4 linked regions of the Lytechinus pictus genome follow. The protein of the gene in region 1 purifies or fractionates together with the protein of each later gene. This does not show direct contact. Links are inferred from orthologs where the notes say so. Each region holds a gene or a part of one and is shown in the gene's direction. Other genes may lie near its edges. The genes, in order: protein phosphatase Mn(2+)-dependent 1K-like; 2-oxoisovalerate dehydrogenase subunit alpha, mitochondrial-like; lipoamide acyltransferase component of branched-chain alpha-keto acid dehydrogenase complex, mitochondrial-like; 2-oxoisovalerate dehydrogenase subunit beta, mitochondrial-like.

Evidence for each region.
Region 2: the proteins of protein phosphatase Mn(2+)-dependent 1K-like (region 1) and 2-oxoisovalerate dehydrogenase subunit alpha, mitochondrial-like purify together in Homo sapiens (affinity purification with mass spectrometry; 4 studies listed by BioGRID and IntAct, counting the BioPlex papers as one, with this or other methods). This does not show direct contact. The link is inferred for Lytechinus pictus from reciprocal best matches to the Homo sapiens genes PPM1K and BCKDHA.
Region 3: the proteins of protein phosphatase Mn(2+)-dependent 1K-like (region 1) and lipoamide acyltransferase component of branched-chain alpha-keto acid dehydrogenase complex, mitochondrial-like purify together in Homo sapiens (affinity purification with mass spectrometry; 4 studies listed by BioGRID and IntAct, counting the BioPlex papers as one, with this or other methods). This does not show direct contact. The link is inferred for Lytechinus pictus from reciprocal best matches to the Homo sapiens genes PPM1K and DBT.
Region 4: the proteins of protein phosphatase Mn(2+)-dependent 1K-like (region 1) and 2-oxoisovalerate dehydrogenase subunit beta, mitochondrial-like purify together in Homo sapiens (affinity purification with mass spectrometry; 3 studies listed by BioGRID and IntAct, counting the BioPlex papers as one, with this or other methods). This does not show direct contact. The link is inferred for Lytechinus pictus from reciprocal best matches to the Homo sapiens genes PPM1K and BCKDHB.

Annotation. Positions count from the first base shown.
Region 1 is NC_087262.1:25,080,782-25,088,677, forward strand, and holds the start of protein phosphatase Mn(2+)-dependent 1K-like, read left to right. Parts: upstream 1-4,881; 5' UTR 4,882-5,076; intron 5,077-5,917; exon of another isoform or gene 5,918-5,946; 5' UTR 5,947-5,975; coding exon 5,976-6,519; intron 6,520-6,926; coding exon 6,927-7,125; intron 7,126-7,640; coding exon 7,641-7,758; intron 7,759-7,896. UniProt on the Homo sapiens protein: Serine/threonine-protein phosphatase component of macronutrients metabolism.
Region 2 is NC_087251.1:40,230,984-40,238,585, reverse strand, and holds the start of 2-oxoisovalerate dehydrogenase subunit alpha, mitochondrial-like, read left to right. Parts: upstream 1-4,592; 5' UTR 4,593-4,695; coding exon 4,696-4,809; intron 4,810-7,602. UniProt on the Homo sapiens protein: Together with BCKDHB forms the heterotetrameric E1 subunit of the mitochondrial branched-chain alpha-ketoacid dehydrogenase (BCKD) complex.
Region 3 is NC_087255.1:5,971,248-5,979,005, reverse strand, and holds the start of lipoamide acyltransferase component of branched-chain alpha-keto acid dehydrogenase complex, mitochondrial-like, read left to right. Parts: upstream 1-4,737; 5' UTR 4,738-4,839; coding exon 4,840-4,911; intron 4,912-7,758. UniProt on the Homo sapiens protein: The branched-chain alpha-keto dehydrogenase complex catalyzes the overall conversion of alpha-keto acids to acyl-CoA and CO(2).
Region 4 is NC_087248.1:8,417,403-8,424,458, forward strand, and holds the start of 2-oxoisovalerate dehydrogenase subunit beta, mitochondrial-like, read left to right. Parts: upstream 1-4,040; 5' UTR 4,041-4,166; coding exon 4,167-4,314; intron 4,315-7,056. UniProt on the Homo sapiens protein: Together with BCKDHA forms the heterotetrameric E1 subunit of the mitochondrial branched-chain alpha-ketoacid dehydrogenase (BCKD) complex.

The DNA of each region.
Region 1 (7,896 bases):
TGAAAGAAGGGAAACCCCCCTACACACACCCAAAATATATTTCAGGAGCAATCTTCCAATTGTATTTTATAAAGAGGACTTTTGGTTGAAATTTACTCCTCAATATACGAAAAAACATCGAGTATATAGGGGTGTGGGCTACTAAAACTAAAGCACTAGCCCGTTGTTTTTCTGTACAAATTGAAAGAAGGGAAACCCCCCTACACACACCCAAAATATATTTCAGGAGCAATCTTCCAATTGTATTTTATAAAGAGGACTTTTGGTTGAAATTTACTCCTCAATATACGAAAAAACATCGAGTATATAGGGGTGTGGGCTACTAAAACTAAAGCACTAGCCCGTTGTTTTTCTTTACAAATTGAAAGAAGGGAAACCCCCCTACACACACCCAAAATATATTTCAGGAGCAATCTTCCAATTGTATTTTATAAAGAGGACTTTTGGTTGAAATTTACTCCTCAATATACGAAAAAACATCGAGTATATAGGGGTGTGGGCTACTAAAACTAAAGCACTAGCCCGTTGTTTTTCTGTACAAATTGAAAGAAGGGAAACCCCCCTACACACACCCAAAATATATTTCAGGAGCAATCTTCCAATTGTATTTTATAAAGAGGACTTTTGGTTGAAATTTACTCCTCAATATACGAAAAAACATCGAGTATATAGGGGTGTGGGCTACTAAAACTAAAGCACTAGCCCGTTGTTTTTCTGTACAAATTGAAAGAAGGGAAACCCCCCTACACACACCCAAAATATATTTCAGGAGCAATCTTCCAATTGTATTTTATAAAGAGGACTTTTGGTTGAAATTTACTCCTCAATATACGAAAAAACATCGAGTATATAGGGGTGTGGGCTACTAAAACTAAAGCACTAGCCCGTTGTTTTTCTGTACAAATTGAAAGAAGGGAAACCCCCCTACACACACCCAAAATATATTTCAGGAGCAATCTTCCAATTGTATTTTATAAAGAGGACTTTTGGTTGAAATTTACTCCTCAATATACGAAAAAACATCGAGTATATAGGGGTGTGGGCTACTAAAACTAAAGCACTAGCCCGTTGTTTTTCTTTACAAATTGAAAGAAGGGAAACCCCCCTACACACACCCAAAATATATTTCAGGAGCAATCTTCCAATTGTATTTTATAAAGAGGACTTTTGGTTGAAATTTACTCCTCAATATACGAAAAAACATAGAGTATATAGGGGTGTGGGCTACTAAAACTAAAGCACTAGCCCGTTGTTTTTCTGTACAAATTGAAAGAAGGGAAACCCCCCTACACACACCCAAAATATATTTCAGGAGCAATCTTCCAATTGTATTTTATAAAGAGGACTTTTGGTTGAAATTTACTCCTCAATATACGAAAAAACATCGAGTATATAGGGGTGTGGGCTACTAAAACTAAAGCACTAGCCCGTTGTTTTTCTTTACAAATTGAAAGAAGGGAAACCCCCCTACACACACCCAAAATATATTTCAGGAGCAATCTTCCAATTGTATTTTATAAAGAGGACTTTTGGTTGAAATTTACTCTTCAATATACGAAAAAACATCGAGTATATAGGGGTGTGGGCTACTAAAACTAAAGCACTAGCCCGTTGTTTTTCTGTACAAATTGAAAGAAGGGAAACCCCCCTACACACACCCAAAATATATTTCAGGAGCAATCTTCCAATTGTATTTTATAAAGAGGACTTTTGGTTGAAATTTACTCCTCAATATACGAAAAAACATCGAGTATATAGGGGTGTGGGCTACTAAAACTAAAGCACTAGCCCGTTGTTTTTCTTTACAAATTGAAAGAAGGGAAACCCCCCTACACACACCCAAAATATATTTCAGGAGCAATCTTCCAATTGTATTTTATAAAGAGGACTTTTGGTTGAAATTTACTCCTCAATATACGAAAAAACATCGAGTATATAGGGGTGTGGGCTACTAAAACTAAAGCACTAGCCCGTTGTTTTTCTGTACAAATTGAAAGAAGGGAAACCCCCCTACACACACCCAAAATATATTTCAGGAGCAATCTTCCAATTGTATTTTATAAAGAGGACTTTTGGTTGAAATTTACTCCTCAATATACGAAAAAACATCGAGTATATAGGGGTGTGGGCTACTAAAACTAAAGCACTAGCCCGTTGTTTTTCTTTACAAATTGAAAGAAGGGAAACCCCCCTACACACACCCAAAATATATTTCAGGAGCAATCTTCCAATTGTATTTTATAAAGAGGACTTTTGGTTGAAATTTACTCCTCAATATACGAAAAAACATCGAGTATATAGGGGTGTGGGCTACTAAAACTAAAGCACTAGCCCGTTGTTTTTCTGTACAAATTGAAAGAAGGGAAACCCCCCTACACACACCCAAAATATATTTCAGGAGCAATCTTCCAATTGTATTTTATAAAGAGGACTTTTGGTTGAAATTTACTCCTCAATATACGAAAAAACATCGAGTATATAGGGGTGTGGGCTACTAAAACTAAAGCACTAGCCCGTTGTTTTTCTTTACAAATTGAAAGAAGGGAAACCCCCCTACACACACCCAAAATATATTTCAGGAGCAATCTTCCAATTGTATTTTATAAAGAGGACTTTTGGTTGAAATTTACTCCTCAATATACGAAAAAACATCGAGTATATAGGGGTGTGGGCTACTAAAACTAAAGCACTAGCCCGTTGTTTTTCTGTACAAATTGAAAGAAGGGAAACCCCACCTGAGGTCTCACAGGCCTAATTCATTCCCCATAGACTCGTGTGTTAAATTGGCACTTTAAAAAATTCATAAAAAATAAGGATGAAATTCGGGGGTCGAATGTTTACTACCAGTGGATAGGATATATATCTGGCAATCCATATCTGACCAGAAAAGGGTCCTTCGACTGGCTCATTTTAAAAATAAATTGGCGTGTTTGAAGACAGCGTCGGGGGGAGCAGATTCATCACCTCAAACAGCAAAATAGCCCTAATCCTTCCGCCAGTCAAAATACAGTCCAAAATTGGTGATATTTCTTCCCAATTTGGGAAAAGGAAGTTCAGTAATTACCAAAAATAGAATCAGTGTTAGATGGAAAATCATATGCATACACTTTGTCAATCAGCCATATCAAAATTAAAAAAAATGGCAATGGGTTGGCTCGAATGAATATCTATGGCCTGCCACTAGTGATTAGGCCCGTGTAGCCCTGACCCCGTTTGTTTGATTTCTACAAGAATGCACGCTTCTCTTCTTGCGCAAAATCCTGTATCTGATCTATCTTATATCGCGATATTGTTGGCTGGAACTGTTGGCTGGCTTGCTGTTGGCTGGCTTATTGTTGGCTCACTTGACATAGGCGATGGAGCCTGCCCTTGATCTGTCGGTGGGGATCGCGACTGCGACTGGTCATGTTGGTGATTAGTGAGATTGAGACTGAACTGGAGCTACATTTTAGCCAGGACAGCAATTTTTAAATGAAAAGTGGGCATTATCCTTGTTTAAGTCACCACTCCATTCACTGCCGTTCATTTCGTCAGCGGCGGTCACTCATTCAATGAACAAGGTTATGATATAACCTTGTAGTTGTTCTCAATCTCACTTATCTCAGTTAATCTCCATGTGTGGCAAAGTAAGGATGGCAATGTTTGGCTTATTTTCTCTTTTTCTTTGGGACAAATGCTTGATTTTTTTACACTGACAGTTTCCATTACACCTATTCGTCATACAACTTGGCCTTTAAGTAAATTTGATTCTTTAAAGGTAAATGCTAGTTTTGGTAACGATATCAAAATGAGTTCGTACAGAATCCAATGAAATGACCACCAAAGTGTCTGTTTGTATAAATAAAACGCATGTGCCAAAGGATTCTGGAAGAAATTGTGTAATTGCTGAGAAATCAGCAAATAAGCACAGGATTCGGGTAGAGCGTCGGGCCCGACGCTCAAGGCAAAAATTATACACTGTCCCACGTGCGCTTATCTGTGTTGGGGAAGTTCAGTCTGAACATTTTTCAGCGTAGATTTCAAGATTTCACAAAGTTCAGTTTATGTAACTGTACCAGATCTAGATCCTCGATGATATACTGACAATTAAGCCTGGTTTTACAGACTTTCTCATGAAATCAGTGTTTACTGCAACTACTGGAATTTCTCTTTAAATTATTTTTTTCTTAATTAAAAATAGAGTTAAAAAAATGAAAATTTTCTTGCCATATTATTTTCCACCAAAAGAGGGCGTACACAAAAATATGCCCAAAATTCAAGTTTTTGAGCGCTCTAGTGAATACAAAAATTATTCCCAATTTACTAATGAAAAATTAATTGCAAATGTATGGAAATTAGTAATTTTGGTCACAAAAGTGATCATTTTTTAAAGTGTGTGCTCTGTACAGCATTGGTATACAAATAATGCATGCAGCCGAGTGCGTTAGTGGAAATGCAGAGCACGCGAGGTTTCTTTAGATAGGAGTCGCACTGTGCACGAGCCGCTTGCGGCGAGTGCCCAGTGTGCTCCATCTGAAGAAACCGAGCTTTCTCTGCATTTACCTTTACGCACGACAGAGCAAGTGCATTATTTGTTTTATAAAATAGCAACACAGAAACAATTTTTTTTAAAGTTACAGTACAGTTTTGTTGGGCTTCTACCGCACTGGTTTGCTCGAGCGTGCAATGTCAATTTTCGTTGCACACCTTTTGCACTACCGTGCAGTGCACAAAAAAAGTTGGATGTCATGTGACGCGTATTGACCAATCGCGATGCTTGAAATAATACAGCTATTTTATAACATGCCATAGTCCAACCTGTAGATTCCCCACAGGCAGGGTGGTTGCAGTGAACAAGTGGCGGCGGTGACTTCTTTCATCTCCCGTTGATTTTGTCTTTGTAGTATTGTACACAACGAGCGCACACACACGAGAAGAGAGGTGACTTATTTCAGGAAAAGGCAAAAAAGTGTAGCAAAGGTGTATAATTCAGGGAGAGACTAATCATGCTAATTCAGATCAACGTAATCACTTGACACCCGTCACTAGTCACTACAACATCATCAGTACTAGTGTGACTGCGAGGCCGAGCCCGAGGTTAGTATTACTTTATGGTCAAAGATACTAAGGAGTAAGGTGAAGATTGGACACTTTGGCGATTTTTTGAAACGCTCGATAAATGCTCATGGGGAAGGACGCCCACTAGCGTTGAGTAAGTAAACCATCCCACATCGGCACGCTGTGTATAAAAGTATAGGGAAAATGAGAAGGTGGACTTTGGAGAGGGCTCAAGTCAAGGGCAGCGCATGGGCATAATTCCACCTTTTATTACCCAGAAACCTCTTAAATATATTCATCTCTAATTAAAAAAAAAAATTGAAATATTTTTTTTTAATGTAAAAATCGTATATTCCTTCACCCCTTCACCATTTCATGTTTTGTACACAACCACTCACACATGCACACATGCATGCGAGGTTAGCTATTGGCTAACCCAGGGAGCCCAGGAGTCAACCGTGCAAAACGAGGAAGACACGGGACTGGGGTAGATAGGGATCTCAAAGTAATCTTAATAAAATGTGGAAACAGAAATTATGCACTTACCTCGATTATATGGATGAAGGTCTATTGTGACACAGAATCCTGACATCGAGGCACAAACTGGACCCTCAAAAAAAGTAAAAGTTAGACGTCTATGTCGCGTTCGCTTTGGCATTGATCGGCTATTTTGTTTTCAATTTTAGCACACTCATATGGTAGCATATAACTATTGTCTTTCTTTATGATTGAAATAATGCATGATTTATTGCTTTACCCTATTTTCTTCTCATTTTAAAGCTTTGTCATGGGACACTCTGCCCACTGATTTAACTAATCTAACATGGATCTAAATGTTGGTACCTGCCTTCACCACTTCCCATATCTTTTATTCACACAGGCACAGGGTTTTTTCATGTCTCATTTCAGTTGTGTCCAACCATCATGGTGATGTCATCATGCTAAAAAGGAACTTTACCATGTTCAGGAAACTCTTGTTATTGGACTATAGCACGATACCAAAAGTGCTTCAAAACAACATACGAAACATGACTCGGTCAGAGATTAGATGCAGTCACAGATTGAGTCGCTCTGTAAATGCGGCATCTGCAAGATACAGTTCATCCAGTCGTGGGGTCAACTGGGATAACTTTGGAATCTGGGACAGCAGGATCGAAGAGCCCATCCTTTTACAGCAAAGCATCAAACATGGTATCCCCATACCAAAAATATCTGTTGGGCGCATCGGAAAGGAATCCCTCATCGGTCGCAGGGCAGAGAACGAGGATCGGATATGCATCAAGGAACTCCGTCCAAACCTTCTTTATGTTGGTATCTTTGATGGACATGCTGGATCCATGGCAGTGGACTATGTGCATCATAATCTAGAGTTTCATCTCAACTTTTGGTTGGAAAGAGAGTATGATTTACAGATTGTCTTGAAGAAAGCCTTTGAGGATCTGAACAATAAGCTGACACGCTACCTCTACATTCATTACCCAGGTACACAAAGTAGCCTAGGTTTATATTGTAAGAAATACTTTGAAGGGTAATAACAAAAGGAGGAAACAGGTAGAGAGATCATAGTATAGTTTGACTCTTATCACTCTGGTTATATTTTTTTATATGCGCTGACTGAGATGTAAATTCCATTTTAAAGGCTTAGCCTTTGTTTCCTGAAATAATTATTTGTAAGTGTTGTGACCTTATTGGATTTGAATTTCTGGTACAATATCTATCGGGCAAGACTGTTGAGACTGAGTTCTTTTAGATTATACTTTAATAATAAGGCATTCAACATTGAAGAAAAAATATGAAGCTTTCATCCATTTTTGGCCTCTTGGAACACTTTGTTGTGGACTGGTAATGCATTAAGTATCCAAACTTTTCTTCATTCCAATACAATACAGAACCTGAGCATGAGCATACAGGTTCAACGGCTACTGTGTCACTTCTACGGAATGGAAATGAGCTTGTCTTGGGCAATCTGGGTGATAGTCGTGCCATTCTCTGTCGTAATGGGAAGGCGTTAAGATTGACTAATGACCATGATCCAGAGTACAATACTAAAGAAAAAGAAAGGATCAAAGCGTCTGATGGATATATCACGTAAGATTCTAGACAAATACCCTTTTCTTATACACCAATACCATTATGGCTTATTACTGATCACATCGGAAAGCATTTTCTGAAGCCTCTTATAAAGCATCTTATATTACTGCCATATATCTTTTATGAATATGAAGAACAAGATTAACCCTGAAACGGTTCTAAAAAAAGCCAATGTGTATCTTTTTAAAAGTAGTGCATCTTCCATCTATGCAACACCAGAAATGTTTTGTCCGCACAAAAGAAAGTGAAATAGTGTAGTTATGAGTTGAAATAAGTCACAGAATTCTGGATGTCAATTTCTCAAATTGAATAATGATGTGGAGTTTTAGGCTTTGTGAAAACAAGAAAATCTGGAGAACAATAAATCAATTACAGCATGATTCTCCTTCCAGCTTTACAAACACTTATTCCTATTTCAATTTTTTGGGTGGTAAAAATCATGCAATGCTAATCTTTGATGTACTCAATTAGTAATATTACCTTTCACTATACTTTGATTGTTTGTTATACAGCTGGAACAGTCTTGGGAAGCCCCTTGTTAATGGTATATTGACCATGACTAGGAGCTTTGGTGACATCACCCTCAAGAGATATGGAGTCATTGCAACACCAGAAACAAGATCATTAGAGGTAAGTATTTGGTGAATTTCTGATTGGTCAACACACACTCTATTTACGGTACTTTCCATTTGGTATCGTCTCACATTGTCTAATCTCCATCTACAACCTGTTCATATAACCATTTGGTCTAATGGTCATTTAGCCCAT
Region 2 (7,602 bases), on another chromosome or scaffold:
CACAATGTTGTATGCAGTCCATCTTTCTTCCCGCTCTATAATTTCAATCATCGGCAGCCCGGCCGTGTTAACATTTTTTCTTGTCCCTTTTTCTTTTGTTCCAATTTAGCTTTTGACTAATTACATTCTACCTTCGTTTCCCGCTATTGTTTGCCATTTTGCCATCTTTTAATTTATTTCCCACCTTGCTATTGCATTACATAGGCCTATTTCGGAATGATTTGTTCTTTCTCAAATGTTCTTCTTTCGTACATTTTCCCGCTTTCCTTCCTTTTCCATTAAAAAAAATGTTTTTTCTTCGTTTTTTTCTTCACTTTTCCCTTTTCCTCCTTTCCTTTCCCCTTTCCTTCCCCTTTCCCTTTCTTTCTTCCCCCTTTTTTTTCTTTTTCCCGTTTTTCTTTTATTTTCCCGGTGAAATCCGCCAGGGGGGCAACTTGCCCCCCTGCCCCCCCCGCCTGTTACGCCACTGTTGGTGAGATATGTGTTTCTATCTCATGAGTCATATAAATATATATATATATATATATGCATATTGTGTGTGTGTTTGTGTGAGTTTGTTTGTTTTGTGTGATATCGAGCGCCTTTGGAAAGTTGATTCATGATTTTGCCCCCCAAATCTTAAAAAAAGAATCGACGCCCCTGTGTATATATATATATATATACATATAGTAAAAAAAACTTGTACCTCTATTAAGATACAAAAGTATTGGCCTCATCGCAATAAAAGGATTAATACACGAGATTTTGAAATCGCACATAACATGCATAATTTGTGTTACTTTTTGCTTGTTTCTTTCTTTAATAAGTTTTTCGATCTCTCTCTATATATGTTTTAGAATTATTATATGTTTAAATTGATGTATATTTCTGTTATAATGAGATATGTTTAAGTGGACTTCAGGGAATGGTCGTACGCAGCAAGGGGGAAGGGGGGGGGGGCACTTTCGCGATCTGCTGTTGTGAAAAACATTTTTTTTCCCTTAACATTTCATGAAAACTATGAAAAATTTGCAAATGTGAGATGTGCACCAAATTTTCGAGTCTTGCCCCCCCCCCCGGAAATATTATCTGCGTGTGGTCATGCAAAATGGCATGATTGGAAATCCTACATTTTAAAAAGAGCATTTGACAGGGTCAGACTTTACCCCTTTTTCAACATTTTCTTTTATGGCGCCGGCGAAGTGCAAAAATATGTGCGCCGCTCGGCAGTGCGCCCCCCCCCCCTTTCGCCAAAAGCTGGATCCGCCTATGATATGCCTATATCGGAATGATTAGTTCTTTCTGAAATGTTCTTCTTTCGTTCTTTTTTCCCGCTTTCCTTCCTTTTCCATTTAAAAACTATATATTTTTTTTTCGTTTTCTTTTCATTTTCCCTTTCCTCCTTTCCTTTTCCCTTTCCCTTCCCCTTTCCCTTTCTTTCTCCCTCCCTTTTCTCCTTTTCCCGTTTTTTTTCCCGGTGAAATTCGCCAGGGGGGGGGGGGCAAGGTGCCCCCCCCCCCGCCTGTTACGCCACTGAACTGGCTATCTGCCCTTTGGAAAAATTGGTGATCCCGAAAAATGTGCCTCTACTGGAATCGAACCCATGTCCCCAGCTTTGAACGCCGCAGCGCGCCGGTGCCTTAACCACTATGAAACTATATTGCAACCAGATTTTGCAGGTTGGGTCTTGTTTAAGAACGTTATCTAGATGTCATAAAAACATTAAAGATGGTTTTCCTCGACATAATTTCCAACATTTTTTTATCCATCAAAATGTCCTTATAATATTGTCAAAACATTTCATCATGACCTTTCTAGAACGTTTGATATCATTTTAATCATATTGTAATAATATTTTTCAAAACATTTTGTTTTCATCATGTAATCAATATTTTCAAAGTGAAATAAAGATTATCTTGAAAATGTCAATATGATGTTATGAAAACATTAAAACAATAAACATCCCAATAAATTCTATTAACATTTTTGAAAACGCTAAACAAATGTTAAAATAAAAGGCTTAATTGGAAAATAAATATATATATTTTGTGGTAACTTTTATAGAACGTTTCATGTTGACGTCATTACATTTTGATAACATTGAAAGCAAATTTTTAAAATTGAAAATGTGTTATTAAGATTATTCTTTGATTTCTGAAAAAAAATCATGAAAATGTGAAAAATGGTTTTGTTTAACATGAACTCTTATCTACATGTATATAGGGTTTTGAAAAACATTAAAAAAAAAATAATAAAATGGTGTTCAACATGATATCTTTTAAATACTTTCTCGTGACCTTTCTAGAACGTTTAACGTTATTCATGTAATACTCCGATAACATTTTTAAAATATTTTGTTTGTGAAAAATCATTATTATGATATTATCAAAACTTTTAAAGAAGGTGTTTAGAAATAATTTTTTTTTAACGTTTTAGGAAAACAATTTTTCCAATATTATTTAGCATAAATATTTTGAGAACATATTTTCACAACTTATACAACCTTAAATGCTATTATTATTACGTTTTAGCAATGTTTTAACGTGGGATTTTTTTTTATATCTAATGTACTTATCGTAATGTTAGTGAATTATTTTGTTTCTGAAAACATCAAAATAAGGATGTTTGTTTTATATTTCATTAACACTTAGGGAAAATATTACAAAACTATTTTTTTTTTCAAAAATGTTTAGTTATTTTTTCAATGACATATTTTCATAATTTTTCGAGAACGTTTGATGTTATTTTCACACCCAATGCATAGCAATGCATAACATTATAAAGTTGTTAGTAAATGGTTGTTTCTAGAAAAATGTTTAAATGATATTTAAAAAAAGTCAAAATATGTATGTTTCTGATACATTTTTTTATAACATTTTAAAAACATAATTTCAAAAAAAAATGTTTGTTAAAATATTTGAGAAACATATTATCATGTAATTTAGGGAATGTTTTATGCTATTGTCATAGTATTCTAACAACATATTTGTAATGTTTGTTACATAATGTATAACATTATAAGAACGATGTTATTATAACAACATTTAAAAATATTTTTAGATCCCGTGTATAACTTTATAAAGATGATAGTAAAGTTAACAAAAGTTAAAATTGTATTTTAAAAACACTAAAAAAAAAGGATGTTTCAAATATACTTTGAAATATTTTTGGCAATTATTATTATTTTAATGTTTTGTTGAACTATTATAAAAACACATATCAATACGTTTCTACAAAGGTTGATGTCATTGTCTTAATACTCTAACAATACTTTTAAAATGTGAATTTTTCACCAAAAATGTTAGTAAAATATTATTAAGTTTCTGAAAAAATATGAAAACCATATTTAAAAAACATTGGGAAATAAGTCTAAAATATATTTCAGAAACGTTTTAGAAAAATATTAGGAAAACATTTTTCAAAAACGCTTATTTAAAATATTATATTAACATAGTTTCATAACCTTTCAAGAACGTTTGATGTTAATGTCAAACTATTTTAACAGCGTTTTTGGAATTACATTTTCACATCCACTGTAAAACATTATGAAGATGTTAGTAAAATGCTATTTTGTTTCTCAAAAATGTTAAAATGATATCACGAAAACGTCAAAATTATTATGTTTCTAATACATATTTTGATCATTTTTTAGAGAATATCAAACAAACATTTTGTCAAAAATGTTTTGTTGAAATATTTCGAAAACATATTTTCATGACTTTTTAGATTTTATTGCCATAGCATCATAAGAACGTTTTAAAAATGTTATTTAACATTATATAAAAATATTCTTAAGAATGTTTCTTTCATGTCATTTTAACGTCAAGATTTGACATTTTGATAAGATGTTCTGATTTTTTTTAATAAAAAATGTCTTTTAAATGTTTTCTTGTCAGGCCATCTCTCTTGTATCCTTCGTCCGTTAAGGTCGGAGATCGCTAGTAACAGTAGAAGAACGTAGACACTTCCTAAGGGTTGTTAGAGCTGGGAAAGTAATTGCTGAGGAGGTTTTGGCGGGTTGTGTGAAAATATTAATTAGGGCCTATATGCTGGATAACGTTTATTCAATGATGAACATAAAGGGAATAATGTTTCATTAATGTTATGCAAATGTTCTAATGTTTTTAAAGCATTTCTAAGATCTTTAAAAAATGTTATTACGTTATGTGTTAGCTGGGCCTGGGCATGCACTATTCCAAAGAACATACTTTTTATCAGAAACTGGTGAAAGTTGTCTACCTTCACATAGAGAGAGATATATACAAATTAGTAAGATATCTCTATGCTTTAACATGACTCTGTATCACTCTGCATGCAGCCTCAACCCAAGATGAACACTTATTATGAGAAAAATATCGGGATAACGATTTAGAATAATTTGTTTTTAAAATGAATTCGTAAATAAGTTGCAGTTCTTACTATATACCGGTACTTACTTGAAGAAAAAAAAAATATGCGAAAAACGGGTCATTTGAACTAAGAACCATCACAAAAATGTATATGATGTGCAAAAAAAAAGAAGGTGAAAATTTCTTTTATAATCATGCATATTCATATTTTATAAGGAAACAATGGCTAGTTGGTTCATAGTATCAGGGAAGTGTTCCCTGATAGTATTTCACCCACCGGTAATACGACGTGATCGTCGAGCGCGAGCACTCGCACCATGCCATCGACTACTAGCTAGCGATAGCACTTGTCTAGTCTTTAGTAGTAATGATGGCGTCACTATTCCAAAGATCATGTCGATTCCTACGTTTTTATCAGAAACAGGTGAAAGTTCCTGCTCAGCAATTAGCTTCGAAGCAAATTAGAAGTATATATTATTCGGTAAGCAAAATATGATTACATACTGAAAGTGCTTCCTAACGCCTTACTTGAATTTGAAGTACAATTTATCGTTAAAATTAAAAAAGCAGTTATCCAGTCAGTCTTAAGTTAAGTCAGGCCCCATCTATTCATATTTATGTCAGTGCATTGGCCTTTTTGACGGTCATGACGGTAATGCAACAGTCAGTATGCCAGTGAGTCGAGTCCAGACTTTGCGTGTGTCCATACCTCGCGGCAACGTTCTCGCCAATGTAGAAAACATGCATCGCATGCGACACACGTAAATTCCACAAGCTCTTCATGTGCCACGCGCAAAACGCCAGCGACACAGGCAAAAAAATCATAAAAAGTGGGGAAAAAGTATAGAAAATAATTGTTGCATCATTCATCATCAAAAGTAGGGATGTCAACCTGAAAATTAGGCCTTATCCTGAAATAAGTCACCTCTCTTCTTGTGGTTGTCGGTGTGTGTGTGTGCGCTCGTTGTGTACAAAGTCAATGGGAGAGCTGAAAAGTCACTGCTGCTGACGAAATAAACGGCAGTAAATGGAGTAGGCCCTAATGACTTAAAGTTAAACCAGGATAATGCCGTATAAAATTCAAATGATCTAATTCAGATGTTCAAGATGGCCAGTGAAAAGGCCTTTGAAGATGATTTAAAATGACACCAAGATGGTCCAAATCTGACCAGTTGCTGCCAAGATTATACAGCTGATTCAAATTTCCAGAAAAGGGTGATTTTCTGGAATTTTCTTAGCTTTCCTATTTTTTTTTTGTCTTTCCATTTATTTGTCCTTTTCAATCTTCTTCAAAAATTCTTTACTTTTTGATTCCTTCCCTCTTTCTTTCTCTATCTTCCTCTATTATTTTTTTTCTTTCTTTCCTTCCTTCATTTTATCTTTTCATTATGTTTTATTTAAATATTTAGGTTATATGTAGAATTATATTATGATTGAAAGATATTTTTAAATGAATACAATACAATTAGGAAAAAAAAAAACCTCACTTTCCTTCTTTTTTTGTTTTTCTTTCCATTTATTTGTCCTTTTTTTCAATTTTCTCAAAAATTATTTACTTTTTGTATCCTTTCTTTCTCTCCCTCTCTTATTTTTCTGTGTTCTTTCCTTCATTTTGTTTTCTTTTTATTTTGCTGTATTAGATATATGTTATATATAGAATAATATAATGGTTGAAAGATATGAAATAAATACAATGTAATTAAGTGCATCACTTATTATTTCAGAGATGTATTCATCATAGGAGCCACTGGATGGGGATTATCTTTCTTTTTTCTTTTGTATAAGTATCCTTCCTTGAGATGTTTTAATGAGTGTTAACTCTTTAAGTTCATGTTTGGTCATATGAATTACTGTTATTGAATCTATGTAAAATTTTTATTTGTCAACCATTTGTATTCTGCTAAATTCAATCTGGCCTTGGAATAATTTTTTTACTGAATTAAAATATCCTCTTCTTATTGTTCTTTTTCCTCTTTCTTTCTTTCTTTCTTTCTTTTTCTTTCCTTCTTTCCTTCCTTTTAATCATTTACTAGTATTTCTGTTTTCTTTTCAGTAATTCCACCATTTTATTGTGTGCCGCAACCCCCCCCCCCCATAAAAAAATATGATTATGATATAATATGATAAGAAGAATTAATTAAAGAGTATATTCACATTGAAATTAGGTCATGATGGACAAGATGAAAATCAACTCTGAAAAAAAATAAATGTGATAACATGGTTCATGATAAGTGATACTGGCCTAGTAATGATAATAATAATAATGGCCAATTGTATGTAAAACAGTGAAACTTGTTGTGAAGCTGTTTAACTTTGTTTTGACTGATTTGTTTATGAGCAAGTGATCTACATGTATAATTTCTTGAAAGCATTTTTATTCAATTAAAAATTTATTTGCCCAGGCATGTAGGCCTACTCCAGAACCTATATGAATCAAAATTTTATACCTTCATATGACGCCGGGACACTCCCAAGAACCAGCGTGACTCAACTAACATTAACAAAAAAATTATAACGATTTTATACATTACACTATAATTATATTTCCACCTAAAAAAAACTTATCACCGATAAATTGATATTACTAGTTTATACATGGCGGACGCTCCAAAACCTTTTTTTTGACCGAGTATGCTTCTGATATAATGAGGTGGAAATATAATTATATCAGATTTATGATTGTCATTATACCAATTTTTATACGCCCGTCCTAGACAGGACGTATTATGGTATCACACTCGGTGTCCGTCCGTCTGTTAACTTTTCCTTGTAAACATGTTAACTTTAGTTTGACTTAACCTAGGCTCACATAATTTGGGGTGTATGATACTAGCATGGTCCCAGGAAGCCTATTGATTTTGAGGTCAAAAGGTCAAGGTCACAGTGACATGTTTTCATCTTACCTTTCTGCAGTTCTTGTAAACATAACTTCAGTTTAACTTAACCTAGACTCATATAATTTGGTGTGTATGATACTAGAATGGATCCCAGGAAGCCTTTTGATTTTAAGGTCAAAAGGTCAAGATCACAGTGACACATTTTCATCTTACCCTTCTGAAGTCTCAAGTGTTAACACGATAACTTTAGTTGAACTTAACCTAGGCTCATATAATTTGGTGTGTATGATACCAGCATAGATCCCAGCAATTCTATTGATTTCGAGGTCAGAAAGTCAAAGGTGAAGTCACCACCTTCCACTTTTCTTGCTTGATCAATAACTCCATTTTCTGCTTTACAAGGCAGGCGTATTATGTGCTGGCCATAGCGACACTCT
Region 3 (7,758 bases), on another chromosome or scaffold:
CACGGCGTAGGCCTCACATAAGATTCATAAAGGTTGCCAGTGAGTGAACAAAAATTTTAACATTTTTTTATCACTGAAAATCAAATTTTGTGATAAATTTGATATAATGTAAAAAAAAATAATACTGAGTGTCACATTTTACCCTTCTCTCTTTCCTTTTTATTAATTGTCTCTTTTTTTTTTCTTGGTCATGAAAAATTGCGGGGGGGGGGGGGCTCTTGCCCAACCCCCCCCCCCCATGTACGCCCGATAGGCACAGTGAATTTTTATTGACCGGGGGAGGGGGTGGGCAGCAAAAATGGAAATGGAACGGGGCAGGAAAGAGTTCTTATTGTTAGAGCAGCTTCAATGTAAAGTGCGAACTCTGAAGTACATGTATACAATATTAAAAAAAAAAAAACCATTAAAAACTTCTGATACAGTACCGAATCTCATGCTGGATAGGCCTGCATGCATGGCAAAGTGCGCAGAAAGGACGCATGATAATTGTTTTCATGCGGCCAGCCAAGCATGCTCTTCTTATTTCATTAAATTTTAAGAGAATGAGAGATTTTTAAGAATTAGGTCTATTGATTTTTGTTTTCTTTTTACTCAATTCATATATAAAAATAGACCCAAATTCCTTCTTATAATTTCCCGGCACCCCCCTGTTAATGTTACGTACCTGCCTTTTTTAGAGGTGGATATAACAATCTTATTCTCCTGTGTAATATTTAAATGACAAAGTCGCATCAAATGGGGTCGATAAAATCCATCTCTATGCAAAGTCACAAACTATTAATACTGATATGAAACCAAAACTCAGAGTAGTGTCGATTTTTTTTAACAAGCTGGTGCACATCTAGTTACCAAGAAAGCGTATAGCGTTTTAATTTCTTTGAATGCAGGAAAATTAAGAGCACCGTCGAACCGTCGATTAAAATAATGAATGCCTTGCTCACGGGCATAGGTGCCACGGCCGGGGATAGAACCCCGGTCTTAATAATGTTAAGAAAATAAAATTAAAGAATATCTTTCACAAGACGCAAATGATAATGTTACACGGTTGATTTAGCCTGTGGCAATAACCATGTTTTTTTTTCTCTTCTCTGCCAGATATTATTACTTATTTTAGTTTGATTAAAGTTTTTTTTCTATTCTTTCTTTTTATTATCTCTCTTCCTTTTATTCTCCTTTTCGTGCTGTTATTGTTGTTGCTGTTTTTCTTCTCCTTATTCCTTTTCTTCCTCCTTCTCCTCCTTCTTGAAATTCTTCTTCCCCTCCTCCTCTTTCTTCTTCAATCTATTCCTCCAGTCCCTTTTCTTCTTCTTCTTTTCTTCTTCTTGTTTTTCTTCTTCTTCCTTTTCTCCTTCTTCTTCTTCTTATTTTCTTATTCTTTGTGTACACTCTTAAAACAAATCAGTCAAATTGACTAGACCAGTATAGTCAGCTGGGTGCAACTGATATGGCAATCACTGATAGGCACATTTCTGACATGTATTCTAGTCAGAAATAACTCTGTTCCAGTAAAATACGACTAGAAAATAATCAAATATGACTAGATTGACAGCTGCACCCAGCTGACCCTATATTAACTAGTCATTTTTGACTGATTTGTTTTTCAAGTGTATATATCATCTCTATATCTTATTTATTGCTAATAGTAAATCCTGATTTTTCTTCGTTTTCTTTAATGTGTAAATGGTACAATTTCTATACATGTCGAAGGCCCCACGGAAAATAAGCTTTAGTGGGTCATCCTGTGCAAGCCTGTTGTTTTTAATACTAATATATTGTTTATATCATTATGTTATGGTGGCTAGCCAAATAAAATCAAAATCAATCAATCAAGCAAGCAATCAATCAATCGATAAAATCCACCTCTATATGCAAAGTCACGAACCATTAATACTGATAGTTTTGAAACCAAAACTCAGAGTAGTGTCGATTTTTTTTAACAAGCTGGTGCACACCTAGTTACCAAGAAAGCGTATATAGCGTTTTAATTTCTTTGAATGCAGGACAATTAAGAGCACCGTCGAATAAATGAATGCCTTGCTCACGGGCATAGGTGCAGCGGCCGGGGATCGAACCCCGGTCTTCATAATGTTAAGAAAAAAAATTAAAGAATATCTTTCACAAGACGCAAATGATAATATTACACGGTTAATTTAGCCTGTGGCAATACTAACCATGGTTTTTTTTTCTCTTCTCTGCCAGATATTATTACTTATTTTAGTTTGATTAAAGTTTTTTTTCTATTCTTTCTTTTTCTTTTCTCTCTTCCTTTTATTCTCCTCTTCGTGCTGTTATTGTTGTTGCTGTTTTTCTTCTCCTTATTCCTTTTCTTCCTCCTTCTCCTCCTTCTTGAAATTCTTCTTCCCCTCCTCCTCTTTCTTCTTCAATCTATTCCTCCAGTCCCTTTTCTTCTTCTTCTTTTCTTCTTGTTCTTTTTCTTCTTCTTGTTTTTCTTCTTCTTCCTTTTCTCCTTCTTCTTCTTCTTATTTTCTTATTCTTTGTGTACACTCTTAAAACAAATCAGTCAAATTGACTAGACCAGTATAGTCAGCTGGGTGCAACTGATATGGCAATCACTGATAGGCACATTTCTGACATGTATTCTAGTCAGAAATAACTCTGTTCCAGTAAAATACGACTAGAAAATAATCAAATATGACTAGATTGACAGCTGCACCCAGCTGACCCTATATTAACTAGTCATTTTTGACTGATTTGTTTTTCAAGTGTATATATCATCTCTATAACTTATTTATTGCTAATAGTAAATCCTGACTTTTCTTTGTTTTCTTTGTGTAAATGGTACAATTTCTATACAGTCATGTCAAAGACCCCACGGAAAATAAGCTTTAGTGGGTCATCCTGAGCAAGCAGTGGCGAAGCTAGGATTTTTTTCCTGGGGGGGGGGGCACTGGGGGGGGGGCACCATTTTTTCCGTTGTGTGTGTATGTGTCACAAGGGCGGATCCGACTTTCGCCAATAGGGGACGGGGCCCGAAATTATCTTCACCTATATTTCCCCCGATCAGTCACTTCTTAGTTTTATTCTTATAAAACAACATAAACATGAAATAATCTCATAAGCCTTATAAAAAGTGCGAGCGCAAAGCGCGAGCGATTTTTTTTTTTTTTTACTTTCATGTATTTTGTCCTGAAAATATTCTGGGCAATGTTATGTGTGATCCTTAACAAGATTCGTATGTAACTAGATGGTTACTGCGAACTCCAAGCGCGAGCAGAAATTTTTATTAACTGTTCTAGCATTATCGAAAAGGGACCTGTTAAGGACTGCTTACAGTTACCCACAAAGACGGTATATATTTTAATAATGCGAGCGCGAAACGCGAGCAAATTTTTTTGACATTCCGACCTAAAAAATTGTCATCTTTTTCTAAGCACTTTTTGTATTAATAAATGGGATAGGTATGTAACTTAACAATTGATGCGAGCGCGAAGCGCGAGAGGAAGAAAATTGAGATTTTAGACCTAAAAGCGGGACACTCTATTTATATTTTGTAAATCATAGATAGGATATAGTTAATTATTGGGTATCATTAATAATGCGATCGTGAAGCGTGAGCAGACAATTATTGATATTCTGATGTGAAACTGGGAAACTGGATAATTTAAGTACATTTAATATAATACATTTGTTTAATGGAACATTATGGAATACACGTAGACAATAGGAACTTGGCAAATCAAACAATTTGACCAAGCAGCGTGAGCTTAAAAATGCTGATATGTAGACTATAAAAGGGACATTTTACAGCTAGAGCGCTTAAATTTGTTAATGAAAAAAAATTGATGAAAGCTCGATGTCTGAGCTAAAATATATTTTGTATATTGACTTCAAAACTTGCTCCATATCAGCCTATTGAGCAAGATATGAATCTCATCAAACAGGCAGTTCTGGCGCGAAGCGCAAGCAAAAGTATTATATAGTAACATGAAAGATTTGGGTTTTTTGCAAGTCTTCCTCCTCTTATTTTCCTCTTCTTTTTTTTCTTCTGTCTTTCTTCTTCTTTTCCTTTTTTCTTTTCTCCTTTCTCCCTTTTTCTTTCTTTTTGCTCTGCCATTTTTTTTTCAGGGGGGCACCTGGGGGGGGGGGCACACCAAATCTCAGGGGGGGGCACGTGCCCCCCCCCCCCCCCGTAGCTACGCCACTGTGTGCAAGCCTGTTGTTTTTAATACTATTGTTTATTATGTTATGGTGGCTTGCCAAATAAAATCAAAATCAATCAATCGATAAAATCCACCTCTATGTAAAGTCGCGAACTATTAATACTGATAGTTTTGAAACCAAAACTCAGAGTCTGTAGTGTAGATTTTTTCTAACAAGCTAGTGCACACCTATAGTTACCAAGGTAACTACGTTACCTACCTAACGTAGAACGTTCTTGCTCACGGGCATAGGTGCCGCGGCCAGGGATCGAACCAAATAAAATCAAAATCAATCAATCAACCAACCAACCCACCCACCCACCCACCCACCCATCCATTTTTTTTTTTTTTTTTTTAACAAGTGCACACCAAGTTACCAATAATGCATATAGCATTTCCATTTATTTGAAAGCAGGATAAAAGAGCATTGTACATTAAATACTTTGCTCACGGGGATAGGTGCCGCGGCCGGGGATCGAACCCCAGATTTTCTATGTATAGCCAGGCGCCTTAGACCACTCGGCAACGGCACCTCCATCCATCCACCCATCCATCCACCCACCGTGAAACCAATGTCAAGCGAACCCCTGAGCTGATTGTCCACTCGGCCAGCGCGCGCCACGCACGGAACTCTGCCAAAAAAAAATTGAAGAGCGCCATCAACGTTAGAAACAACAAAATGGCGAGCTACTTGAGATTTTTGCAGCCCAAGAATTTGTTATTCTACAGCCGTCTTTCGTCAGGTCTGCAAGTAAGTATCGTTAGAATAGTAGATGATATTACTGGGTGTCTTTAAATTTAGACATAAACTTGATTGTAGGATGCCTTTTGAGAATATTCCCAATCTAATACCCCTTTCATACTGCGCTTTTCCCCGGCGAACTTCGCTCAACATTAACCATGTTATTGTTAACCCAGGGAGCTCCCAGGGGCAGGGCTAGCTCAGCCTTACCTCGGGCGATGTTCGTGCAGGCTCCACTCCACTTCACTACCGCTACACTCCACCTACCCGAACATCGGGACAGTGAACTAGATCGGATATTCCGAGTCATAAAAGGTGGGATGGCAATCATGGTTATCGTAAAAATTAAAGAAAAAAAATATAGGGATTATACTTATAGTAGGGATAGCACACAAAAATTAAAACTAGCTAATATCCATTCAAAATCCATTCTGTCTTATAGAGCTTTGTGAGAGCTTTATTTTGATACCAACTTCATGTAAATTGACCAATGTTTGGTAAAGTTATGGTCGATTTAAGTTATCGGAAAAAGGGTAAAAACCTGCCGGAAATCATCAAAATCGCCCTAAAAAGGCAAAAAATGCGTTTTTGGGCAAATTCAAGTATCTGTCACATGAAAAATATGATTATATAGTGTCTAAAAACAATTAAACATAGCTATAGCACTTGTGTTCTACACAGTCTGCAAAAACGGGATCACATGAGTAAGTTACTGCTGAATTATAGTCGTCAGAGTGGGACCTATTAATTCAAAATCACCCATCCGCAACCACAGAAAAACCTTCAAAATATGCAAATGAGAGCTAATTAATATGCGTAAATGCAATATCTCCAGTTATATTAGGTTTCACGCAATGAAACTTGGCAAGATGTTTTCTTGCACTAAGACCTTTAATTTTCACCACTTTTGTACAATCTTATTTGACAAATATGCAAATTAGCTCATTTATTATGCAAATTAGCTAATTTATGCATAATTATTAATACATAATTCATCAAAGATTCATCGGCAACAATCAAACCATCCTACAAATTGTCTCTTTCATATGGGTTATACAAGGTTGATAAACTTTATGATTTCACAACACTTATCTTTTACCTATACAGTGCTGAAAATGAGTTTAAGAACAGCACTGGACAGATAACCTTAATGAAAGAGGATATTATTATTAACATGCCAAAGACAGCACATATCTGTTCTTGGCAGTTCTGAAATTGAATGATCAGTTGCTGCACAAGTCAATCCAGGCTGGTATTTGAGTTTTCTTTCAAGTATCACAATAATATTACAGATGCTGTTTCATTAGATATTTTAATATATTCCCAATTTTAGCATAATAAATTGAATTTTTAATAACATTGATGTTTAATACATTTCTATGAATTCTGACTTCAAACAATTTAACAAAAAATAACTGTAATCTTCATCCCATTTCAAGTAGGTCATGACAAGGACAATGAGCAACAGCCAAGGGAATCAAATCGAGAAAGGGGAAACTGCAGCCAGACACAAATGAGCGGACAACCTGATGAGAAGGGATAAGAGGGCATTCAAGGCATAGTAAAAGCCATTGGACAGTCTGCATAAGATATTCTACCTCATTCATTGAACTTGAGTTTTTTTTTAGCACAACAATAATATAACAGATGCTGTTTCATTAGAATTTTCCAAAATCTGCCTGGTAGATTTTTGATTGCAGGTTTGTATAAAGTGTAAGAGTAAAAAATTAATTGGTGGACTGGTACAAAATTTTGAAAGACATTCATATTATATGTACCACAAACTAGTGTCTCAATATTCACAGCAATGGTATAAAGAAATTCTGAGAATGAGAAATAATTATTAGCTTATAATAATTTTTAAAGCCCATTTGAAAGTATAATTTGTTTCTTTTGTAATTATGTCTCTTTGAGGCCCCCACCCCCTCCCCCTCCCCCCTAAAAAAAAATTAATTAATAAAGGAAAAGAATTGGTTATGGGCACAATTGAGACAAAATAATTCAGTAAATATGACCAAACAATTAATTAAAAGTGACAAATTTGACTTTCAAGTCTAATTTCTTGAATTGCCTGACATCACACAACTATTGATTTGAAAAACGTACGAGGAAAATGAAAACAGTCGTTCCAGAGGGAGGGAGAGAGGCAATGGAATATCCATACCTTAAACTGCGCATGCGCAGAAAAGAAAAATTCGGTCGGCGAATGTGGCCGGTCGACTGGAGAAATGGCTGTGCAATTTTGCGCGCACTCCCTCTGCACAATCACGGCAAAATTGTTCATTAGATATTTGAAAAAGATCGACATTTTTCACATTTCATGTCACAATCACAACCATTTCACATCATTTCATAATAAAAATCCAATCAATCGGGTATTAAGAATACGTAATCGGCACAAATCTACTCACCAGGACATTTCCGTTCGTGTACAAGAGAGTGAATTTCATCGGCAGTCCATCCGGTGAGTTGGAGTATTCGTGTATGTTCTGCGCTGAAGTCAGCGGATGCCATGATTGAAGTCAAGCGCGTAGTATGTGAACCAAAATTTGGTTTGCTCAATTCAAAGCCATTTCCTTGCTAGTTACACTCATTTTCAGGACAAAATAATATCATCCCTAAAAAATGTAACTCCTAACCTTTACAACAAGTACTTCACTCTTCGGAAATACACTTGAATACCGGAGATATGAAGAATCCAAGCCACACGGTAAAATCGCCTGCGGTGTGACCATAAATTGGTTTCCACGGAAGCAGAATACAGGGTCATGATCGGAAAGGTCACGATATCCTTATATGGAAATTTCATGCACATATTTAGAGTGTAACATGTGAGGATCGTTGATTTTTCTGAGG
Region 4 (7,056 bases), on another chromosome or scaffold:
TAAATAACTCAACATATGTTCCATATACTAGTTAAATGTGATATTTTGAACACAGTTATTTTCCAGAGATATCTTGATAAATACTCGTGCTGAATCTTTTTACAGGGTATCTTACTTGTAGTTAATGTATAAAAATCATATTTTAGTACTTTTGTTCTATCTAAAGCAACAAGAATGATCCTTTCAAAAGAATAATTAATTTGTTGGGTGATAAAGTAATAAGATATTCATTTTTCTCCAACAATACCACATGGATAACACAGCAACTGCTGTGTGAAGAATGTTCCTTTTATGTTGTTTTTATAACTAGATGCAAGAAAGGGTTATAGTGTCCAATATTTTCATGTTTCTTTTCCATCAAAGTTTGTTTAAAGGAAAGTAGTTTTGTCACCTTATGTGATAGTTCCTATGTTCCTATTTAAGTATCTCAATTTAAAAACATGTGCTAAGTTAAAGAGTGCATCATAAGAGTCTGTTTATATAAAAACTTATCGTTAAGCCAGTTTTCTTTGTACTTTGTTTCCAAGCAACAGGGTTTATGCTGAATATAAAACTTTGCAAAATAAAATGTACTTACTTACCGAAGAAGGTAGTAGCAGAATGTACAGAAATATGCTTACATATCTTGGCAGCTATTTCTAAGATATTTTACCTTGCTTAAGCTTTCTGCTTTCTTTCAATACTATTGTACAAAAAAATGAACAAAATTTGCTGCGTGTAGACCAATGAACATTTTTAAATGCTTCTCTATTAATCACAAATACAATTTTGCAGTGATGAACACCTTGAAATTTGGTTTTATATGAATCTTACCTTGCCTTCCAATGTTATATGAAATGTGTGTTTTTTATACATGTACTTACATGTAGAAATATTTCCTTGATATTGCAGGACCAAACATACTTTATTTGACAAATTTATTGATAGACATTGCCGAACAAGGGCAATGTATTAGTGATTTGTCATGTTTTTGTAAGTCATGAGCACATTGTCTATTTGTTAAAAGATTACCATAATGGCTATGTATGTTAAGTTGATAATAAGCAGTAAAAATTGTTGCTGTTTCAAGAATTGTCATAAGAGTGCTAGAACAAGAGAGATAATACTGCAGCATTTCGTTTTGTGGCCGTTTTAGAGAGTTAAAAGTATGCAATTCAATTTTTTTATACCATGTTTGTACAATATTTAATGAATATTATATTAAGATGATAGACTTGAAACAGAAAAATCTAGTTCAAAATAATATAAATAATAAACATTGATATTTGCTTGTAGGGTCACATCATGAAAATGAGGATGAGATATTAATGTTGTTTACAACAATAACAAACATCATTTAGTATTGCGCTGACTAAAATGTATCTGATAAGCTGTTTTCTAGCTCCTAATTGTAAAGATTGATATCAATACATGCATTCATTTTGTAGACTTTTTCACACAAATTATTTTTTTTAACATGTTAAATATGCAGTTTTTGTTTTAATTTGCCTCAGGATAATAGATGAATTTAATCATGTTTATGTTTAAATACCATTTACTTGAATATGAAGCTCAATAATACATATATCATGCTTATGATCAATTTGAAGTTGAGTAAACAATGCCAACAAATATTCTGTGCTGCTGTTCTGATTTTGAGGTAAATTGAACAATTACATGCATATTCATGTTTTGAGATATCTTCCAAGATATCTTGTTATCAAAAGCAAGTATTTATTAAAATTGTATTAATCATTTTATGCTATAAGTAATCAACTATTTATATCCTTGTATGATTTTAATGATATTAATGTCATAACCGTATTAAGATGTAGGAATAGATAGCTATTTTATATGCCAGAAATTATTATGGATTTTCCACATCAAATCTATACAATATTTTTGTATTTACACTAGGTCTTTTTTATTTCAAGTATCCCCAATGGTTGCTTTATTTAATAACATGGGAGCTTATACAGTATATGTAACTGTTCTTAAGAATCGAATATTAATTACTCTGGCAACTGTGTTAGAGTGTACATGAACATACATGAAGATGAATTATAGAGCACATGTAGGATATCTTTGTTGACAGAAAACTATACTATTAATATGCAATATTGAAATGACTGCTTAGCTTTGTTTTCAATCATGAGGATAATGTAAACATTATTATTGAAGGAAGTGAATCATTGTAATTTTCAAATTTACTTGATTTCTTTTTTTTTATTTGCAATAAGCGAATCACATTTTGGGAAATTGATGTGTAATCACTTTTGTTGTGATCAAAATGCTGCACGGAATTGAGTAATTATGTAAATAAAACAATACACGCTTTCTTTTATCTATCTAATTTTAAAAATCTTAGTCTTTCAAATACGACAGTTACTTTAACTTTTTAAGTATATGAATTTAATAATCATTTATTGGGGTATCAAAGCAAAAATTGAAACATTGAAAACTAGTACGTTGTTTTGTAATTAATGTTAATGGGCATCACAATTTGTATTATGAAAATGTTTGTGTTGATTTTTCTAAGATAGATTTTGTATTTTGTTTGCCATGTTGTGAATTTGTCATTCATGTTCTACATGGAATGTTTTCTGTTAACTTCTAGGTTCTGTACTGAGGATGGATAAAAGAAAGAGAGTAATTCTTCAATCTTATAAGTGTTTATATGATTCACAATGGGTGATTTCAAGTTCAGTGTTGGTGTTGGTGTTGGATGCACATTTTGGATTGTGTTTCCTAGTTCCAAAACCTATTCTGAGTTAAAACAAATATTCCAGATCACAATATTGACAGCTCAACACATAGTGAGTGACTTTTCAAGACCATCTTCATTTTATGTTTGGTGTTACACTCATGTAAAAATTGACTTAATACCAACACCAAGAGGTCAACACTGAACTTGAAATCACCCAATGATAAACCAAGTCAAAATAGTCTTGTTTTTTATGGCTGAATATAGTACAGGGTGTTTGTATAAAAAGGGTTTTCTTAAAAAAGATATAACTTCTATCTGCCCTAGTAATAGATGAAGTCAGAGAATTAATTCTCAAAACTTAGCACTCATTGCTTAGGAATTGGCATTAATGATTTGAGTAATTGTGTCACATATCTAGGCTATGCTGTATGTTGAGCTTCATGAATAAAGTGAATGAACCATGTTTTTTAATTTTAAATCACTATAATTGTGTAAACTGACACTAAGGGATGCACAGATATTGCAATAAAAGATATATTTTCTTGCATTGTAAAATGGATTCTTCCTCCAATCGATCATGTGTTAAATTGTTAAAATGCCGCTTGTATTACACATGTCTGTACATGAATAAATTACTTTTACAATGAAACATAATGGTACATAAGGCATGCTTTTAATTTACTGTTTCTTTTAAAATATACTTTGTTTCTTATTTTGCTCCTTTTGAAACTGGATATTTTTTACATCTTGATAGTTTTACAGCACGGCTGGTGCTTCAGGGGGCGGGAGGTGACCATCCTTGCATGATTTTCCAAGTGGTGAAAGAGAAAAAGAAAAAAAGAGGAGAAATTTGATCATATAAAAGAGATACATCTGAGTTGTATAACTGTACAGTACACCCCTTCTAATTAACCTGGCCCTATCAAAATTCCCCTCCCCCTGATTGAAAGGGATCCTTTTAAACTTGGAAATTGTTATTCAATCATCTGTTAGTTTCCCTGACAACTTTAGGCAACATACCATGCATCACTTTAAGCAATTCAGCAACTTTTTAAACTTTGTTCAAATTTGGGAGAAATGGTACTTTAATTCTTCCTGTCGCTCTTATTTCTTACTTATATTTCCCATTCTTTCTTCCTCATTTTCCCTCTCTGTTTTTCACACATTCTGGCTCTTTCCATCACTAATGCTTTTCCAGGGGCGGGGGCAAGACACCTTGATTTACAGTTTTTTTAGATTAGAAAGGCCGGGTATTAGTTACACACCATGACCTTTCTCTTTTTATTTTCGTTACACATTTTTCTTCTTTTTTTCGCTTGAAAAATCATGAGCATGCAGTCAGAGAGAATACCGAGTCGAGAACATCCAGAACGACTAGACGAGTCGAGTGGCTGTATGTATCTGGGCGAACTCGAAATACACCACAGAGCGAGCGCGTTTTACAGAATTGGGCCGACGTGTGTAGAACTAGAGGTTTACGATGGCGCTACTCAGGCAAATTTTCGGAAGGGTGACTTCCAAGTCATTGCAGGAATTGTCTGCCAAGAAAACACCTGTAATAACGAATGGATCGAGAAGGTTGGCTTCTGCATTTACATTTGTCCCTGATGCAGCCTCTCCATCGGATGGTAAGGAAATTGTCTGGAACTGGAACAGTCTCGATCTATAATTTGCCAAACTTGTCATTGTTTTCAATAAGTGGGACCGGGATGAACGTCACGTCACGGTAGGCCTACACGGGCTACAGCTCCCGGGCCGCTCTGGTGCTGGACGTTGGACCGGGCCGATGATGTGATCGCGAAGCTAAATAGATCGGCGCTAATGCAGTTTCGCACCGGCTGACATCTAGCAAATTTTTCCATCAGTACTATACTGCCTTGTGGAAAAATTTGCTCGATGTCCGCAAACGTCATGGCGTTAATGCAGCTTCACACCGGCCGACCAATCCTGGCGATGACGATGTTAAACTAAGTCTTTTTACCTCAAAATATTACTATTACTAGACTAGTAGTATTAGTAGGGATGCCACCCCAAAAAATTGAAATGGTGTAGCCTAGGCCTAAATTTAGTTTTAAATAGTTTAACTGGAATAAGCTTTGAAGCACGAGTAAAATGACACCAAGATCATGAAAATTGGACCACGGGTTGCCGAGATACGGCAAATTCAAATTTTGAAAAAGCCGATTTCCTGCCAGAAAGTCGCCAAAATGGAAAAATTGTATTTTTTGCCATTTTTAAAGCTACCTATTTTAAAACTTGATGAAGTATAGAGGTTGCTTTTTCTTGGGGCACCTAACATGTAAACCACCAACAAGTACCTGAAAAATTGGGTCCAAACTACTTTTCGTTTTCATATTAACGGAGTTCAAAAAATGGGGAAAACACAAATTTTCGCCTATGGCACCAGAGGAAATTGGCAAAAATGACTAAGTCCATCTAATTAGTATGCGAAAATGGCTTAATTTGAAAGTGGATGGGCAAGTAATCACCAAATTTCACAGAGGTGCAGAGTTCTTAAGTTTACTTCATATCTGTTTTTCTTGTGAGCATAAATATAATACTATGCAAATTAGGTAATAAATGAATATTAATTTATACATAACGAATGGGAAAATTGCCTAACTAAAGTTATAACTGATTTGAATGGCAAAAGCCAATGCTTAATACAAAATATTATTTATTAAGAGGTCCTTAAGACTAGGAAATTTAATATTAATCTCATATTGATGTAACTTCCAATCCATACTAAAAACTCTTTTATAATTATATCACTCATTATTGAATACTTTGAACCTTAAAAAAAATTCAATAACATTTCACACTACTAGGGTTTAAATACAATAAATGGATCGGCAGATTAACGTAAGTGCGCACGCGCAGTAGAAAAATCATTGAGCCGGGGTACATGGTATCATTTATAACATACAATGCAATGTACTTCACACATACCCCGGCCTCGCCCTTGCCGTTAGCCTTGGAAGTTAGAACGTTAACTACTTTTCCTCAAATAAAATAAAATCGATAAATTAACTCAAGAAAACACAGCTCAACACTCGTAATTGTCGTATACAAAATAAAACGTTCAGCATACTTCGCAAAATACCACTGAACACAGCCACAAACTCAATACAATACATGCACCCCACGCATTCACAAGCTCCCTATCACAGAACAAAATCATCCAATGACATGGGCAAAATCTCGAACAAAAGTGAAATTTTCTTATCTAAATGACCACATCTCGCACTAAAAATGTCACAATCGCATTTCCTTAACATCATAATTAAGAAATACGGGGTCTAAAAAAGTGGATTTTTCGGACGATTTCGCGATGTTAATGGATTTTGGAAACATGTCGTCACAAAAAATTGACACTTACGCGAGCCAATGCGGGTCGCTATTTTTTCCCGGAAGTCATTCATATAACACACGGGCTCATAGGAGAGAATGTGCAGACTCGGTTACTGAGAAAGTGAAATTGGCATACCTGGTTATATTATCTCAAATATCTGAGTGATTAAGTTATCAGATCATCATTAAAATGGCTAGATATGAAGTGTAAGAAATCAGGATTGTGCAATTACAAGCGAAATTGACAAAAGTTCCTTTAGACATTCAGAAATCTTAATTCTAATCAACTTACCAACGATAGACGTTGTTCTGGTCTTCCAATACTCAAATTTCCCGCCCTGCGGATATTTTCGTTGTCAAGGAAGTTAACTCAGAATGTTCCTCTTTGACATGGGGGTTAAAAAAATGAAATTGGGCAATAAGATCACTTCTCTAATAGAGTTTCAAAATACTCTTCACATCCCGATCCCCCCCCCCCCCCCCCCCCCCCCCCCGCTTAAGATCAAATTCTTCGGTCCATAAATTTTGATCAATGGGAATCAGCTGATCATTATGCTAGGATTTCATCGAAGTCGTAGTTGAGTTATGTGTCAGCAATGGGTATGAAAATATAAGAACTTGAAAGAGTTTTTCGTCAGGTTAATGTGAGTACTATTGTTTTTGTTGTTATATGTATACTTTTTTTGCATTGTTGGAATAAATTTAATCATTCCTGCCAAGAATTTGTGAAGATAACCATCGGCATTGGCAGGAATTTCTCGGCGCGCGAGTGGCATCCCTAATATTAGTATCTGCCCGCAGCAGCACTCACACGTATTGCGAGGTTAGTATTAGTATACTAACCTCGCTCCATGAACCGCGTTTGGCAGTTGATTTCTAAGTAGTGGGTCGCGCGTGCTGGGATCCCACTTCTGGTTTCCACAACATACGACTTCTATGGCTTGATTTTTCTGTGCGTGGCGGCATGTAATGAACCCTTGGGTGCGCAGCAGCTCACCCAGGCCATGCTTTTGCAAGAT